2 linked regions of the Rattus norvegicus genome follow. The protein of the gene in region 1 purifies or fractionates together with the protein of each later gene. This does not show direct contact. Links are inferred from orthologs where the notes say so. Each region holds a gene or a part of one and is shown in the gene's direction. Other genes may lie near its edges.

Region 1 (7,558 bases):
CCTTCCTCTCACAATTTCTTACTGGTTATCAAATCTGTGTCTGCTGAATGTTCTGCCCTTGCCATGGGTACAACTTGATGAATTGGGGTTTCTGTTTCCACAATCACCCTGCTTCACAATGTTGCATTTCCCTCCGGTCTACAGGTCTGTTTAATCGCTGACCTGCCTTCTCTGTTACTTCCCACTTCGCTGCGCAGCCAGAACATAGTTCTGTCCAGTTTGTATTTACCTAATTGCCCACAGAACACTTAGCTTCAGAGGGCTATAAGTGACTTCTGTACGTAGCCCACTTGTTCTCTGTCCAGGTCCAGGATCTTGGGGGTGATCTCTTGGGATAAATAAACCTTCTATATTAGAGTTTATGGGTAATATATGAACTATTTTCCCCCTACAGAACTTCACCATGTCCATTCTCAAGATCCATGCCAGAGAGATCTTTGACTCCCGCGGGAATCCCACCGTTGAGGTGGATCTCTACACCGCAAAAGGTACACGAACCCACATTATTTCCTGGTCTCTTGCACCACAGTTTATTGATAATGTGATGGGGAAGCAAGGCAGAGTCTGATCTACTCTGATCCCTCTGAGCCTTCCACCCACTGAGCCATCTGCCACCATGTCTGGCTTTGCTTCTTGGTATTTAAGACAGGATGTGGGTTGGGTAGGTCACCGGGGCAGGGAAGTAAGGGAGGGCTTAAGCCCTGGCTCCTGAAGAAGCCTGGCCTCCTGATCGGATCAGCCAATGGAGGGGGAAGCCTTCTCTCCCCACATGAAAGGAAGGAGACAGCCCGGAAGCTCTGCTTTTTCCTCTAGGCCAAGCTACCCATGGTGAGGAACTCGTGTGTTATAAGGGAGTGGGGATATAGTTTGGCAGAGCATTTGCTTAATATGTGGGAAGTCCTAAATTTAAATCACAGCATTGCAAGGAGAGATTGGCTGGGTGTGGCAGCGACTACCATAAATCTCAGCACTTGGGCCTGCTCAGGAGGGAGGATTGCCAGTTTTGAGACTAGCCTGGGCTACATAGCAAGGCCCTGTTTCTACTACTCAGAGACAAAACAAAAAAAAAGCCCACCCCTGCTGATTCCAGCATCTAGATGTAGAGATGCATGTAGTGGGTGCCATAGGAAAGAGGCCTGGGGAAGATGTAGCAACGTCTTACAGAGCTCACAAGCTCACCAGTCTGGGCTGAGTCATTGTGTGACTCAGAATTCAAGCACCAGAGCCCAGCCCTACCTACCCGTTGTCCCAGGAAATGAGGGATCCTCAAATCACCAGCATGTGCCTGCTTGTTGGCCGCCATTGTCTTTGCCAGGGGTTCTCAGCTGTGTTCTGGCAATGTTTCCTGGTGAATACCAGGAATGCTAGGTAGCATCAGGTGTCAGATAGCAGGGTTTGGCTCCACCTGCTGGTGACATCGTGCATGACAAGGTGTCTGATAGCAGGAGATGGCTCCACCTGCTGGTGCAGCTTTACCCCTAAATTGACTTTTTTTTTCTTTTCTTTTTTTTTTCTGGGGCTGGGGACCAAACCAGGACCTGGCACTTCCTAGGCAAGCGCTCTACCACTGAGCCAAATCCCCAACCCCCTAAATTGACATTTAAACAGTCAAACAAGACGGGTGTCTTAACTGTAGCTCTTTAGAATCTTTATGCTTTCGCCTGCCAATGAAAAGCGCTTTTTACGATAATTAGTTTATCTTGCCATAAGATTTCCTGTGTATGTAGCCTACACTGAAGTCAAGTCCTCAGTCTTAGGTGCTGAGATTGGAACTGTGGACCAAGATATTTGGGGAGGTGATTCAGTTAGGAAAATGCCTGCTGTGCAGACATGAGGCTCAGCGTCCAACCCCCAGGACCCACATAAGAACCCAGGCCTGGGGATTATGTGTCACCCTAGTCCGTGTACCCAGCTTTTGCACTGTGAATCTATGTGTCTGTGGCCACTGACAAGCCTTGCCTCACCTAGGCCAGGACCATCTGGATATGCAGGAAGTCAGGGTGGGCACAGACAGTGCTACCTTGCATGTCCCTCACTCAGGAAGTTGTGTTCACTCTGTATAAAGAGTGGTGTGGAAGACTCAGGCGGGTGAGAAGGCTGTCGTGTTTCTGAGTGAGGATTTACTAACTGGGGACTTGGAGGTACAAGAATTTCTTTGGTCCCAGTTGGCTTCAGACACGGATCCTCCTGTGTATTGGGACTGCCCAATGTTGAATTTCTTTCCCCCCACTGTTCCCAGGTCTCTTCCGTGCTGCGGTGCCCAGCGGTGCGTCCACTGGCATCTACGAGGCCCTAGAACTCCGAGACAATGATAAGACCCGCTTCATGGGGAAGGGTAAGGATAGGAACTTAGTCTCATCTGCACGCACCAACCTCTTCCCCTCCCAGGCATTCACCCACAGCACTGCTGAGCACTGCCATCAGGAAAGCAGCAGGGCAGCTTACCCTCGCCTTCCTCCCACAAGGGACTGATGCCGTCACTGGTGTCCAGTTGACAGGATCAGCCTGATCAAACAAGCTCCCAGATCTCTGGCCTTCAGATCTTTAAGATTGGTGTGGCTCTGACCTTTGTTATGTAAGTGGAGTCTGCTCCCCCCCCCAGGTGCTGCAGAGTTGGGCCCTGCCCTTTTCTCTGATAACACCCCCCTGCAGAGTCTGGCCTTTCTTTTTTTCTTTTTTTTTTTTTTTTTTTTGGTTCTTTTTTTCGGAGGTGGGGACCGAACCCAGGGCCTTGCGCTTCCTAGGCAAGCGCTCTACCACTAAGCTAAATCCCCAACCTCCAGTCTGGTCTTTCTAGGGAAAGTCCATTACTGTAACCAATAGTGGTGAGAGCGGGAATTGAAATCTCCAAAGAGAGGTTGTGTCAGGGGGTCTCAGGGCTAAGGAGCCAGCCAGCATTAGAGCCAGCCAGCATTAGAAGCCTGACTACTGAAGCACCCCTGCCTCCTTCCTTCACTTTCTTTCCTCTGTGTCCTCTGAATCCTTTCTCTCCTGAGTCTTTTTCCTTCTCTATTCACCTCTAATGGGTAGGCGTCTCCAGACCTGTTAAATATGTTAATGAGTTCCTGGCACCAGCCTTGTGCACTCAGGTAACACGCTGGGCATCCTGGTGTGCAGCTGGGTTTCCCAGTGCATGGTCTTGAACTAATACCCCCCCCCAGCACTCTGGTCATGGCTCTTGGTGTGGCTTTAACCCCCTGGGGTGCTAGGGAAGAGGACTCAGACTGGGACAGAAAGCCCCATTCTGGGGGATGGGGGTTTAACAAGATCCTGTGGAGGCTCTTCGGGCTTCTGGGCCCAGGACTCCGGTGCTCCAGCGAGGCTGCTCAAGCCTGTGTACTGTAATTGTGTAAGTAATTTCATGATTGTTCTTCTAGGTGTCTCAAAGGCTGTTGAGCACATCAATAAAACTATTGCACCTGCTCTGGTTAGCAAGGTAGGACCCATCCCCTGTAACTACTGTGTATCCATGCCACCAGAGCAAGGGCCAGGCCTCTCCTCTTCACAAGAATTGCTTATTCTGAGAGCTTTGGAAGCTGGCATGAGTCTAACCTGCCTGCTGCCAGTGTGTGCCATTGCTTCTGAAAGCGCCTGAATCTGGGGCAGGGTGGGGAGTGCTTGACATGTTTCCATATGCTCTCCTGACCTTTGTGTGTCATGGGACTTTGTTCAAGGCAGTAGTGGGACTTTGGAATTTATTGCTCTGTTGGATGGCTTTGTTACAGACTGGGTGGGACTGGGGATGTAGGTGGAAGCAGGTGCCTGCAATTCTAGTATAAGGAGATAGAACTCCACCCCAGCCTCCATCTTTTTTGATGTGTACATACTGAGTGCTAAGCCCTGAATTCAACCCTTTCCCCACTTTAAAACATCCTCATTTGAGGCTGGAAGGGAAGCTCAGTAGAGCAGCGCTTGCCCTTCAGGAGCTGAGGTTGGTCCCAGCACCAGTGTGAGGTGGCTCACAGCCAGCTGAGATTGTGGCTCCAGGCATAAGGCACTGTACCTGGTCAGTGTGAGGGACATGGGCCACAGCTTGTCCCTGGACAGTGTGTGTGCTGCCTTTGTGGTCCTATCCCAGTCGCTTCTCAGAGGGACCACCGGCCATCATCATCTCTGTTTGCTAACATTTAGTTCCTCCCTCTTGAATCACAGATTGGCCCTGTATCATCCATTTTGTCCCCAGCGAGCCTGTAACAAACACTGATTGGTTCTTTGTCTGGTCCCCAGACAGTTGCTCATTACAACTGCCGGCTCCAGTCTCCTGGGCGCCTCCTTGTGCGCCCACTGTCCCGTCATCCCTAGGCCCTCCTTGAATTGAACACTCTTGGGAGGTTTAGCCTCTGGGAACTTTCTGCTTGGGCAAATGTTTGCCTTCAACAATGCCTTGTCAAACAACAGCAAGGGCTGACCACTCACACGCACAGCACCGCAGGGATGTGTATTTTACATAGTGTCTGTGAATGAATATACAGTGATGTACTTGCATGTGTAGTATGGACCATGTGCATGTCTGGGGTAGCCAGGAAAGAGCATAAGATCATTTGCATTAGCAACAAGTGTTCTAACAGCTGAGCCATCTCCAGCACCCACATGCGCTGTTTGATTGAAACAGTTTATTGCTTCATATAACACTCCCCAAAATAGCCATGTTTACCAATCAAGTATTTGGTAAGGTGATCCTGGACAACCTGTGTTCTCACCAAACAATGGTGTTCTGTCCTTGTCTTGGCCAAGAGCTTTAGAGGTGGTAGCCTCTGCAGACCTCTGCCTGCTTGAATGAACAATGAACTTTATTAATTTTTATCCAAGAACACCCTTGTGTGTAGCCTAGGTAGACTGTAGTCTTTGAACAGGAAATGCCTGGAGCTGTTGAATAGAGCGAGTGAAGCGAGGTTTTGTTTTCTCTCTGCTCTACCCCTTCAGGGTGTCGAGCCAGTCTTTGGCAAACGTTGAGAAGCTCCATTGCTGAGCTCTACTCCCAGCCCCATGGCCACAGACTTAGTGCACATAATTCCCAGGGTTCCCAGGGTTCTGAAGAGCTGCTTGGTGGGAGAGTGGGGTCAAGTGGTAGCTGAGCCCTCACTTCCTGTCTCTCCAGAAACTGAATGTTGTGGAGCAGGAGAAGATTGACCAGCTGATGATCGAGATGGACGGCACAGAGAATAAATGTGAGTGCACAGGGGGAGCTGTTCCTCAGTGGTCGGTTGGAGATTCGTAATCAGCCACTTGTGGATTCAACACGCGAATCTCCAGGAGGGCGGGTGGGCCATTTATGCAGCCCAGTGGGAAACAGGCTAAGAAATGGCCCCTGCTCACCATTTTCATTCTATTCCAGCTAAGTTTGGTGCAAATGCCATCCTGGGAGTGTCCCTGGCTGTCTGCAAGGCTGGTGCCGTGGAGAAGGGGGTGCCCCTTTACCGTCACATTGCCGACTTGGCCGGCAACCCTGAAGTCATCCTGCCGGTCCCAGTGAGTGACTTTGACACTAAGTCTGTCTTGTTTTCCTTTCTGTTGCTACAGTAAAATATCCCAAGAAAAAGCAGCTGGGGAAAGGAAGTGTTTGGTTTATTACCGTTCCCGACTACAACCCTTCGTATTAGAGAAGTCAGGGCAGCAGTGAAGCCTTAGGTTACAGTCAGGGCAGACAGGAAGCTGGCAGGACTGCACCTTCCTTCCATCAGCGTTTGGGAGGGTCACAGTTAGCACTAACCATGGCGGGGCTGAGAGTGCGGCCATAGGTACCCACAAGGACCCTCCTGCTTATTGTGTGTGTTGATGCCCAGCACAATAAGGGGATAATTCTTAGAAGAGTCCTAGTGAGCATTTGGAGACCGCGTTCATAGGGACCAACTGGCAGCTATGGAGTTCAGGGGCTTCATGCCCTGTGGTGGGTCTCCCTTGTCCTCCCTGGGTGGGTGACATCACTCCTGTCCTCCTAGGCTTTCAATGTGATCAACGGCGGTTCTCATGCTGGCAACAAGTTGGCCATGCAAGAGTTCATGATCCTGCCTGTGGGGGCATCCTCTTTCCGGGAAGCCATGCGCATTGGAGCAGAGGTTTACCACAACCTGAAGAACGTCATCAAGGAGAAGTACGGGAAAGACGCCACCAATGTGGGTGATGAGGGTGGATTCGCACCTAACATCCTGGAGAACAAAGAAGGTAGAGACGTTGGGAACTATGTTGTGCTGTCCACTCGACCTGCCGCTTAAGAGCTTTGGGGGTTTTGGGTTTTTTTTGTTTGTTTGTTGTTTGTGTCTTTGCTATATTATTGGGTAGCTGGAGGCAGGTCCTAGATCACCTAGAGCTAGAGTTCATAAGTAAGCCACCGTGTGCTGGTAATTGACCTGGATTCTAATTTTGTGTATGTGGGTGCGCCTGCCATCAGCATGGCCATCCATCCACTGTGGCCTGGGGACTCAAACCTCCATCAGCCATCTTACAGGCACTCTGTGACCTCAGACCTGTATAGAATGCACACCCAGCTCTGGGGTCTGGCAGGTAGCAGAAGGTGTATGTCTACTCTAATACTCTTTTTTTATTCATTTATTATATAAGTACACTGTAGCTGTCTTCAGACCAGAAGAGGGTATTGGATCTCTTTACAGATGGTTGTGAGCCACCATGTGGTTGCTGGGAATTGAACTCAGGAACTCTGGAAGAGCAGTCGGGGCTCTTTACCTCTGAGCCATCTCTCCAGCCCTACTCTAATACTCTTGCAGCTTGACTTGAGGTGGCTCTTGTGAGGCTTCCCTTTCGGGGCCCCGCCTCTGTCCTCAGGACAGGTGATCTCAGCTGGTCACTGTAGCTGCATCTGCTCAGCTGCCCTGGCACTAAGTTTGGTGGGACCTTTGACCACAAGAAAGGCTGTGTTAGATGCAATATGACTTTGCCACTTAGTAGGCCCAGTGTCCCTGACCAGTAGCTTTGACCCACGGTAGGAATAAAACCCCAGCCAGGACAGAGTCCGCCCTGCTCTTGAAGACACTGCTGGCAGCTGTTCCAGTGGAGTCTTACCCCCTACCCCCTTTCCCTTGTCTCTCCAGCACTGGAGCTGCTCAAGTCTGCCATTGCAAAGGCCGGCTACACTGACCAGGTTGTCATCGGCATGGATGTGGCTGCCTCCGAGTTCTACAGGGCTGGCAAGTATGACCTGGACTTCAAGTCTCCAGATGATGCCAGCCGGTACATCACACCCGACCAGCTGGCCGACCTGTACAAGTCCTTCATCAAGGACTACCCAGGTGAGGGCTCCAAGGCAGTTTGTGGCTCCCTAGTCAAGGCTCTGGGCCATGAGACTTCACACCAGTTCCTGTAGAGATTATTCAGTTTGGTCAGGGTTAGGCCAAGATCCCGGCCCATTCCTCATTTCCCGCCTGCCCCTTTCTTTTTCAGTGACAGTCTTCATTAGCACTCGTGCTGAGCTGGAACAAAAGGTCCATACATTGTCTTTACTTTAATGTTGACTGAATACTGTGGTATACACCCTTAATCAGAGCAGACAGATCCCTGAGTTGGGTGAGGTAGTATGTATTATGTTGTGCAGAGGTAGAAAAGG
Region 2 (8,276 bases), on another chromosome or scaffold:
TCTGGTGTGTCTAAAGAGAGGGACAGTGTACTGATATACATAAATCTTAAAAAAAAAAGACACTGGAATTGTGGGCATTTCAGAGATTACACATTAAAAATAGAGGAATGTAATTGCTATCAATATAGTTGTGATGGCTATTCTTGGTTGTGAACTTGACTACAACTGGGATTAACTAAAACCCAAGAAGTTGGGTATATCTGTAAGGGAAATTTTCTTAAAAATTTTTTGAAGTGGGAAGACCTGCTTTTAATTGGATCTTCTGATGCGGGAAGACCTACCTTTAATCTGGGCCACACCTCCTATTGGTGGCCTATATAAAGCAAGTGGAAGAAGGAAGCTTGCTCTTTGAATGCTGGCTCTAGCTCGTATGGGTGAATCCATTCCTTCACTGGCAATAGAGCCCACTTATTTGGCATTCTAGTACATACTGAAAACCAGCTGAGGCATTCAGTCTCTGGACGGAACAATTACTAGATTCTCGGACCTTTCTTTGGTAGTCAGCCTTTGTTGGACTAGCTGGGCCATAGCCTATAAGCTGTTCTAATGAATCCCTTTTCTGGAAGTTCTGTTCCTGTAGAAAGAACCCTAATACAATAGTAGATATACAAAAGATCCTCAACAGAGTCAATAACTGGGGAAATGTAAGTTAAAATTGAATTGAGTTATGCTCTACACTCAGCAGGATGGGAAGATGGAGTTTTTGCCTTCGGTCGTGAGGTGTGGAGCAATGGCATTCCTCTAACTAATGTGACCCTATCATGTTAGACGACCGACCACAAAGCATGATTTATTCATGTTTATGACATACACTCTCAAGTACAGACTACACAGAAATTTATATAGATGGGATGGAGTAGAGACTTACGGAATATTTGCAACAGCATTTATAGTAGCCTGGAACTGAACCCAGACTCCTATCAAGAACAAAATGGCTAAACAAACTGTTATATATTGCTACAATGGAATACTGAATATTCAGGAATTAAAGGGAACAAATTTACAGCTATATGAACCTGAACAACATATGGGTTACATCAAGGTTGAGCAAATATGGTTAGCAGAACAGATTATACATATTATCTCCTTTACAGAACACTCACAAGAAAGGGAAAAATTAAACAACCTAATGCTTAGGGATGAACACCTGTGATAAAACAATAAAGAAAAGCAAGGAAACAATTGCCACAAATGTCAGAATAATGCTTACTCTCCCAGAAGGGAGAGCTGTGTTTAGGAAGGTCATTACAGGCTTTGGAGGCTTAGCAAACTCCACTTATTGGCCTGTTTGACTGCTTACATGGTAGTTTCTTTGATAATTACCCACAGCACACAATTGTCTTATGTTTTGAGTCTATTTCACAATGATGCTTAAAATTGGATGATGTGCTACGGTGCGTTTTTAGAAATTTTGCCGGTTAATCTGTTATATAGTGTTTAACAGTAGAAACCACTGATGTGGGATAATAAAACATTGAGTAGTTTCTTATACAAGCTCACTTTCAAGGGAAGAGTTATGAACCTTACACAGAGATCTCCTTGTCCCACTTTAACATAGTATATAGATGTTTATGACAAACTCGTAAGTCAGGAAAGAACCTGGTTAGTTGAAATACATTTTTCTGATTTACTTTTTGGAAATCTGATTTAGCGGCTATATTTCTCCTCTAGATTATCAGACAATATGAGGAACTAAAAGGATATACAACAAATTGGAGATGTATGAATTCCTTCCTCTCCAGCAGCCAGTTGTAGACAGCTGTTTACTCCTGTTACCAGGCTGGGCAAGGAGGAGAATGGACTTTCAGTGAGCGTTAGTGCAGCTACTATTCCTGAGGAGGTTGCTCAGGGCTCCTGTGAGTCTCATTCTGACCCTCACTGATGAGGTTCTAAATTGGAGCCACTGACAATGAGGCAGATCCGACTCTGACACTCCCCATGGTGCACTTCTCCGGAAGCATCCTTGGTTGTGGAGCTCTGATGTTTGTACTCTTTCCACTCAAAGTCCACAAACTTTAACTCTGAGGAGCTCAGCTTCCCCAAACTCCTCTGCACCTGTATTTTATTTAATTTCTGCTGTAAGGAGGAGAGTTCAACAAAAGGATTATGTTGCAGCTATGTTGGGCTATTGTTGAATTGATCTGATTCCCTGTGAATCTTACTGGAATACAGCCTGCGAATGGATCATGTTTGTAGACACTTAAATCCAGGGTAATTAGGGCAAGTTGTTTGACGCCTGGGATTTCAGGTAGAGTACAGAGGGTCTGGTGCAACTTGCCTCTTCTTGCTTTTGTGGCCTCCTCCTCTCTCCTTTACTCACTTTTTTTTTTTTTTTTTGGCTTTTGTCATCTCTGAACAAAAAAATGAACCCTTGATTTATCAACATAGACATTTTCTTGATCTATGTTGCATGAGGTGGTACAGCAGTGGCATAAACCTAGGCTTGCTTCTTAAATGTGTGCAGAGTGTGTTTGGCCCAATCTCCCATCACTGTTGCTTCCAGAGGGACGGGGTGCAGGCAGGTCCAGCCACACAACGGTTTCCCTTCATCTTAGCTGCTGCTTTAATCTCACTGTCAGACCGCTAAGAAGGGTAGGTTCAAGACAGATTTCTGAACACTGTGGTTCTTTATCTCGAAAATTCTTTTACTAGAGGACCATAGCTTAAATTTCATGAGTTTTTTCTTAAACTTATTTCCCAGACCAGAATCTGTAAGACAAACGGCTTAATAGATTTATTAATAACATACCTCTACCCCCCCACCCCCGGCCGCTAACACACACAGTGGGAGAGGGAGGGAGGAAGGGAGAGAGGAGAGGTATTGAGACTTGAGAGTCGCCAAAATGTTTTGAAGACGGTAAGGGGCACTCTGATGAACAAAATCAGCTCTCTAAAAAGTTCCCCCAAATCTAAACGACAAACAAGAATGACTCTTAAAAGGGAGGCTGTTTTCCAACCCTAGTAATTTCGCCTCCTTTCCCACAAAAGCCTGAAGTTGCGACTCTCAACAAACAGCCTCTCATCTCTTTCCTTTCATTGCATGTGGCGGGTGGGGGTGAGGAGGGAGATGTATTACAACTCTCACGTTTCTACACTTCAATTTACAAAACGCTTGCGCTTCCACCATCACCTCGGAGTTCCGCTAAGGCTGTGCTAGAGGCAGGCTTGTATACACTTATACACACACACACACACACACACACACACACACACACACTCACTCACTCACTCACTCACTCACTCACTACACAGAATGCAGCGCCAGGTTTCACCCCACGCCACGGGAAGGGTGGGGTGGCTCGCTCCGGGGAGCAGGTGCAACCTCTGGGCTGTAGGTTAACTTTTCCACCCGTCTCTCTGTTTGAAGATCTGCTCCGGACCAAATGCCTCACCTTCGGGTGGTGCGCGCCCTAGCCCGGTCCCTGGCCTCCTCCTCACTCCCAGAGGAGCAGTTCGCACCTGCCCCGGAGGGAACGGCTACGGAGCTCTCTCTCCGCGCCCTAGGGTCAGGGGTAAGATTAGGCGGTAGCTTAGGCTCGCCTGGGCTCCTCCCCTTCCTCTCTTCAGTTCTGACGCGGCCGTAGAGGCGGCGGCGGAGGCAGCGGCGGCGGTAGCAGCAGCAGTCCCGCGGCCCGAGGCGCACCCACCCGCTCCCAGATCTCGACTTCCTTTTCCCTTTGTGCGTCATCAGAACGCGCCACAGCCTCCCAGGGCGGGGTGGCTGGAGATGGGGAGAAAAGGCCAGCAAAGGAAGGCGCAGAGTGGAAGGGGAAGGGAGGGAGAGGAGAGCGGTTGCTAGGCGACTTACGTCATCGCTGGGCGCCGCTCTCCTCCCGCCCCTCTCTGGAGTGAGGCGAGAGCCCCGCACAGAGCGAGAGAGACAGCGAGCTGAGCTTCGGGCGCTGCCGCCGCCGCCGGTGAGAGCGAGTGAGTGAGCGAGCGAGCATCCGAGAGACCCGGCACCCGTGCACTGGCCGCCGCCGAGACCTTCGCCGCAGCCCGGGCCATCGGGAGCCGTGGCCGCCGTCTGCTCCCCCCCTTACCTTCCCGGCCGGCAGCGGCTGCTGCACACGCCGAAGCGGGAGCCCCAGCCAGAGCCGGAGCCAGAGCCGGAGCCGGAGCCCGCGGCCGGGGGGCAGGGAGGCGGCTGCCGCCGGTCGGGACTCGTAGCTGCTCAGCCGGGAGAGGACGCCCGCGAGGGGCTGGGCTTTCTGCCTCGCCCCGGAGTGTGGGGCGAAGGACCCCCCGAGGTGTAGGGAGGGGGTCCCGGCCGCCGCGACACATGCGGGAGCCGGGAGCGGGGGCGGCGCCGATCCGAGCCCGCCGGGTCCCCAGCCTTGCCGCCGTCCAGACCGGCCGACCCGGGCCGTAGCATCCCATAGCGGAGTGTATGAACCGGGGCCCCCAGCCCAGGAGCCACCTCCGGGCCGGGGGGGCGGGGACCCCGATGTGAAACGGCCGCGGCGGCGTGGTGAGCGGCCCGGGCGCCGCTGTCCTCTCCTTCCCCTCCCCTCCCCTTCACCCCCTCTGGGGGGCTTCTCCTTGGGCCCGCCGCCGCACCCCGGCTCCTCGGCGGGACTCCAGGAGTTCTCGGCGCCCCCTCCCCGCCCCAGCCCCCCAGGGCGGCGGGGCCGGGGGGGACTCGGGGGGCCGGCTGCAGCCTCCGCCCAGAGGAAACTTTACCCAAACAAAATCTTCGAGCTTTCTGATTGTGACTGTCCCGGGACAAGTGGCCCAGGACGGGCTGAAGCCACAGCCTGCAGAGACCCAGGAAGAGAAAAAGCGGTGAGCGGGGCTGCTGCCGCTGCCGCCGCCGCCGCCTCAGCTTCTATCCCGGCAGCGCGGAAGAGACCCGGGTAGCTGCTCCGTGGAGCGACGCTAGCACCGCTTCTTAGTTCCGCGCCTAGCCTTCCGCAGCTGCCCGCCTCAGCCCGAAGGAGGAAGGGAGCCAGCCACATTGTCAGCGCCACCGCTCGTCTCTGAAGCGTGAGTGGACCCGAAGGAGGGGGGACATTATAAGGTGACAAGTGGGAGCGGGTGGGTGCTTTGATGGTGGAGTTGGGCTGTTTCTCGGGAGGGTTGGCAGTGGAGACCTTTCCTTTCTAATTTCGGGAGAAAGCGTCAGTTTGCAGGAGTAATGCAAGTACTCGGGCGTTTTTCTTAGAGGAGCTGTGTGGACAGCTCTGTCCTCTACCTTTTTCTGGCAACCTGATTCTGGCAGTGGTTTTTGTTTCAGGGAAACTCCCATGGATTCCCACGTGGGAATCACTTGAATCAACTCTTATTTTATTTTATTTTTTTTCCTTTCCTAACTATTGTTTTTGAAGTTGCCCTGGTCAGGAAGACCAATTTTGATTTTAGTGCAAAGAGGGGTTTGGTGCCCCCAGCGCTTTATTTCATAAGTCCACAGACTCCAATGTGTAGAGTCCTTGTTTGCATGTTTCATTTGGCTCAGGAGAATCCGAGTTCCTAGGATGCACAACTCGCTGAAACTTATTTCAGGGAGAGCACTTGCAACTTCTCTCTCTCTCTCTCTTTCTCTCTCTCTCTCTCTCTCTCTCTCTCTCTCTCTCTCTCGTCATCTATTTTAAGTGATAACACATTTCTACTAGGGACTGAAAGGACATGCATGCTGCTTTTCTTATTTGGCTCTACTTGTCAACATAGAAACTTGTACTCTTTTAAGAAAGCACTTAGCACACTGAGTGCTAAATTAGAGGTACAGAAAAGTAATGTTTCAACTATGTAAGGTTAAACTAAACATCTTAAGGCAAGTACTGTGGGATTTTGTGTAACAAGGAACATAGGCAGTGTAAGACTGAGAACGCCGGTCCACCCAGACAACTAAATTTGGGCAGAATAGAGATCCTCCGTAGAAATGAATGGAAACCTGGGAGTATCCATTTATCTATCCACCCATTCTAATCTCTCCATTTAGGATCTTGATTAAATTTCTTTGAAAGTTTCTCACACTTCACAATGTTCTCCCCTCCTCTTCTTAAAGTAAGGAACCTTCAAGTTTATTATTCTGCACTATGTAACAATTTACTTCTCTTTGTCCTGCCTTCTCAATCTTTCAGGATACAGTTTCTTTGAGGAATGCTAAAACACTGTGAGCTAATCTTACATTTCTTATAGACTTTGTTTGATTTCTCCTATCATCTGTTCCAACTTTTTTTTTTTTTTTTTTTTTTTTTTTAGTTTACAGGTTTCAGGTTGTTTATTTCAGTGGAAGTTGAATAAATATATTCAGTGGTCACAGTATTGTCATCCTATCCTCTGACACAGATATATTATCTTGATCTAAAACAAAATTAATTTTTGCACATAACCAGAGGCCCATATTCCACCATGGTCTTTAATAATCAATGAACCTAACTGTGGCCCTTTGTTCCAACTTTTTTTAAAAGACAGTTTTACTATGTTACCTTGACTGTCCTGGAATTATCTCTGTAGACCAGGCTGGCCTAGTATTCACAGAGATGTACCTGCTTCTGCCTTCTAAGTGCTGGCTGGAATTAAAAGGTGTGTGTCCTGACTGCCAGCCATGTTGAAACTTTTGTGGCCCCCCAAACCCCATTTCTTTGGCTATCTTTCCCCTCTTTCTGGGTCTTCTAGCTCTTTATGTTTTGTTAGATACTTTGTTCTTCTTATGCTTTTACAAGACACCTTACATTCTACTTAAGTGGCATGAAAATATTGAATGGTAAATTTCTTTAGATTTAGAATAAAACACATTTTTTGATTTGCTAACCTTACTTTGTTACCCTGAGAAAGTCATGTATTCCAGCTTTGAAAAAGATGATACTTGAGAAACTTAGACTTGCATAGTTTGCTTCTTGGAAAGAAGGAGAGAATAAACCAAGAAGTGGTACTTTGAGTTTGTATTGCATCTGGTCAAAGTTGCTTACCAACTGGAGGACCTGCTTTGTGGGAAAACTGGTTTTAAATTGTGGAAATACTTTACTGTAATAAGAAATAAGTAATAAGAAAACATTTGCTACTTTCAGTCTTTGAGGGTGCCTTTTCTTACCAATACCAGAGGCAATCAATATAAATTGTACAAAACTTTAGGAAAGATTGGGCTGGTGTGATAGCTCCGTGGGTAAAGCTGCTTGCTGCATAAGTCTAAGGACATGTAGTCCAGCGGTGGAAGGAGAAAACTTAACTGTACAGAGTTGTCCTCTGACCTGTGCTGTGTGCATGAACATGTAGTAGTAGTAGTAGTAGTAGTAGTAGTAGTAGTAGTAGTAGTAGTAGTGTGGCAGTAGTAGTAAAAATAAATACATTTCTTAAAAATGTCAGAAAGGGGGACATGTGTCGCCATTATTACTCTTAAGATTACTATATGTCAGGGAATGCCATTGCACATTTTTATTAGGGAAATACTGATTTTGGATGACCCAGGAATAATTGGAGTGTCTGAGCCAAATCGTGGAAAGGCTCTTTTAGGAAGAAAAGAGCGTACACAAACAAAACTAAAGACTTAGAGTCAGAGTATGTAAAAGGGGAGATCTAATTGGGAAGCTAGTTTGAAAGGAATACCTACTGAGTGGGGAGGTTCTTGACTAGGGTTAAGGCCAGTTTGTGCTGTTTAAAAGAATTTGAAAACTGTTCCAAAGAAGGTAGTTTCGATTGTGAGAAATCATATTTTAGGACAGACATTATACTGGCTTTAGGATTTTGTTTCATTAGGAGATTAACATTTTTACACTATGGTCATCTAGGGGGCAGCACAGGAGACATGAAAAAGGCAATTTGAATGCTTTTTAGCATGGTGCTAGTAGTTGCTCATGAGCAAATCAGAAACAAGGTAGCAGACTGCTTTGGATGTTGAATTTTGGGTTAAGAGCTGGGTATCCATATAGTTCCCGTGTTAGCTCATTGTTTCTTCTCTCTCTTTAAAACTCTTTTTTCCCTTTCTTTCTCCTCTTTTGACTCTTTCTCTTGTGCCAGGCTGACCTTGAACTTGCTGTGTACTTTTTACTTGTAATCGCCCTGTCTGGACTTCCTGAATGCTAAATGGACTGGTGTGTGCTGCCCGCCATTTCTTGTTTTGTAGTGCTGGGGATAGAACCTCGGGCTTTGTGCATGCTAGGCAGGTACTTTACCAACTGAGCTACATCCTCAGGACCCACCCCACGTAGCTTTCAAGACTGCCAAGTAGTTTGGGTAATATGCTGACAGTGCAGGTGGATGGGAGTCATTTTTAAGCTTTTAGGTTTCTGAGATTCCTGATACGAAGTTAAGAGCTGAAAATGAGTTTTAAATGCTGG

The links. Proteins that work in one complex are often made in the same cells at the same time.
Region 2: the proteins of Eno1 (region 1) and Fbxw7 purify together in Homo sapiens (affinity purification with western blotting; 3 studies listed by BioGRID, with this or other methods). This does not show direct contact. The link is inferred for Rattus norvegicus from reciprocal best matches to the Homo sapiens genes ENO1 and FBXW7.

The regions. Positions count from the first base shown.
Region 1 is NC_086023.1:166,005,035-166,012,592, forward strand, and holds part of Eno1 (alpha-enolase), read left to right. Parts: intron 1-394; 5' UTR 395-403; coding exon 404-488; intron 489-2,239; coding exon 2,240-2,335; intron 2,336-3,030; coding exon of another isoform or gene 3,031-3,089; intron 3,090-3,377; coding exon 3,378-3,436; intron 3,437-5,098; coding exon 5,099-5,168; intron 5,169-5,335; coding exon 5,336-5,469; intron 5,470-5,939; coding exon 5,940-6,162; intron 6,163-7,046; coding exon 7,047-7,244; intron 7,245-7,558. UniProt on the Homo sapiens protein: Glycolytic enzyme the catalyzes the conversion of 2-phosphoglycerate to phosphoenolpyruvate. In addition to glycolysis, involved in various processes such as growth control, hypoxia tolerance and allergic responses.
Region 2 is NC_086020.1:172,443,906-172,452,181, forward strand, and holds the start of Fbxw7 (F-box/WD repeat-containing protein 7), read left to right. Parts: upstream 1-3,832; 5' UTR 3,833-4,986; exon of another isoform or gene 4,987-5,020; intron 5,021-8,276. UniProt on the Homo sapiens protein: Substrate recognition component of a SCF (SKP1-CUL1-F-box protein) E3 ubiquitin-protein ligase complex which mediates the ubiquitination and subsequent proteasomal degradation of target proteins.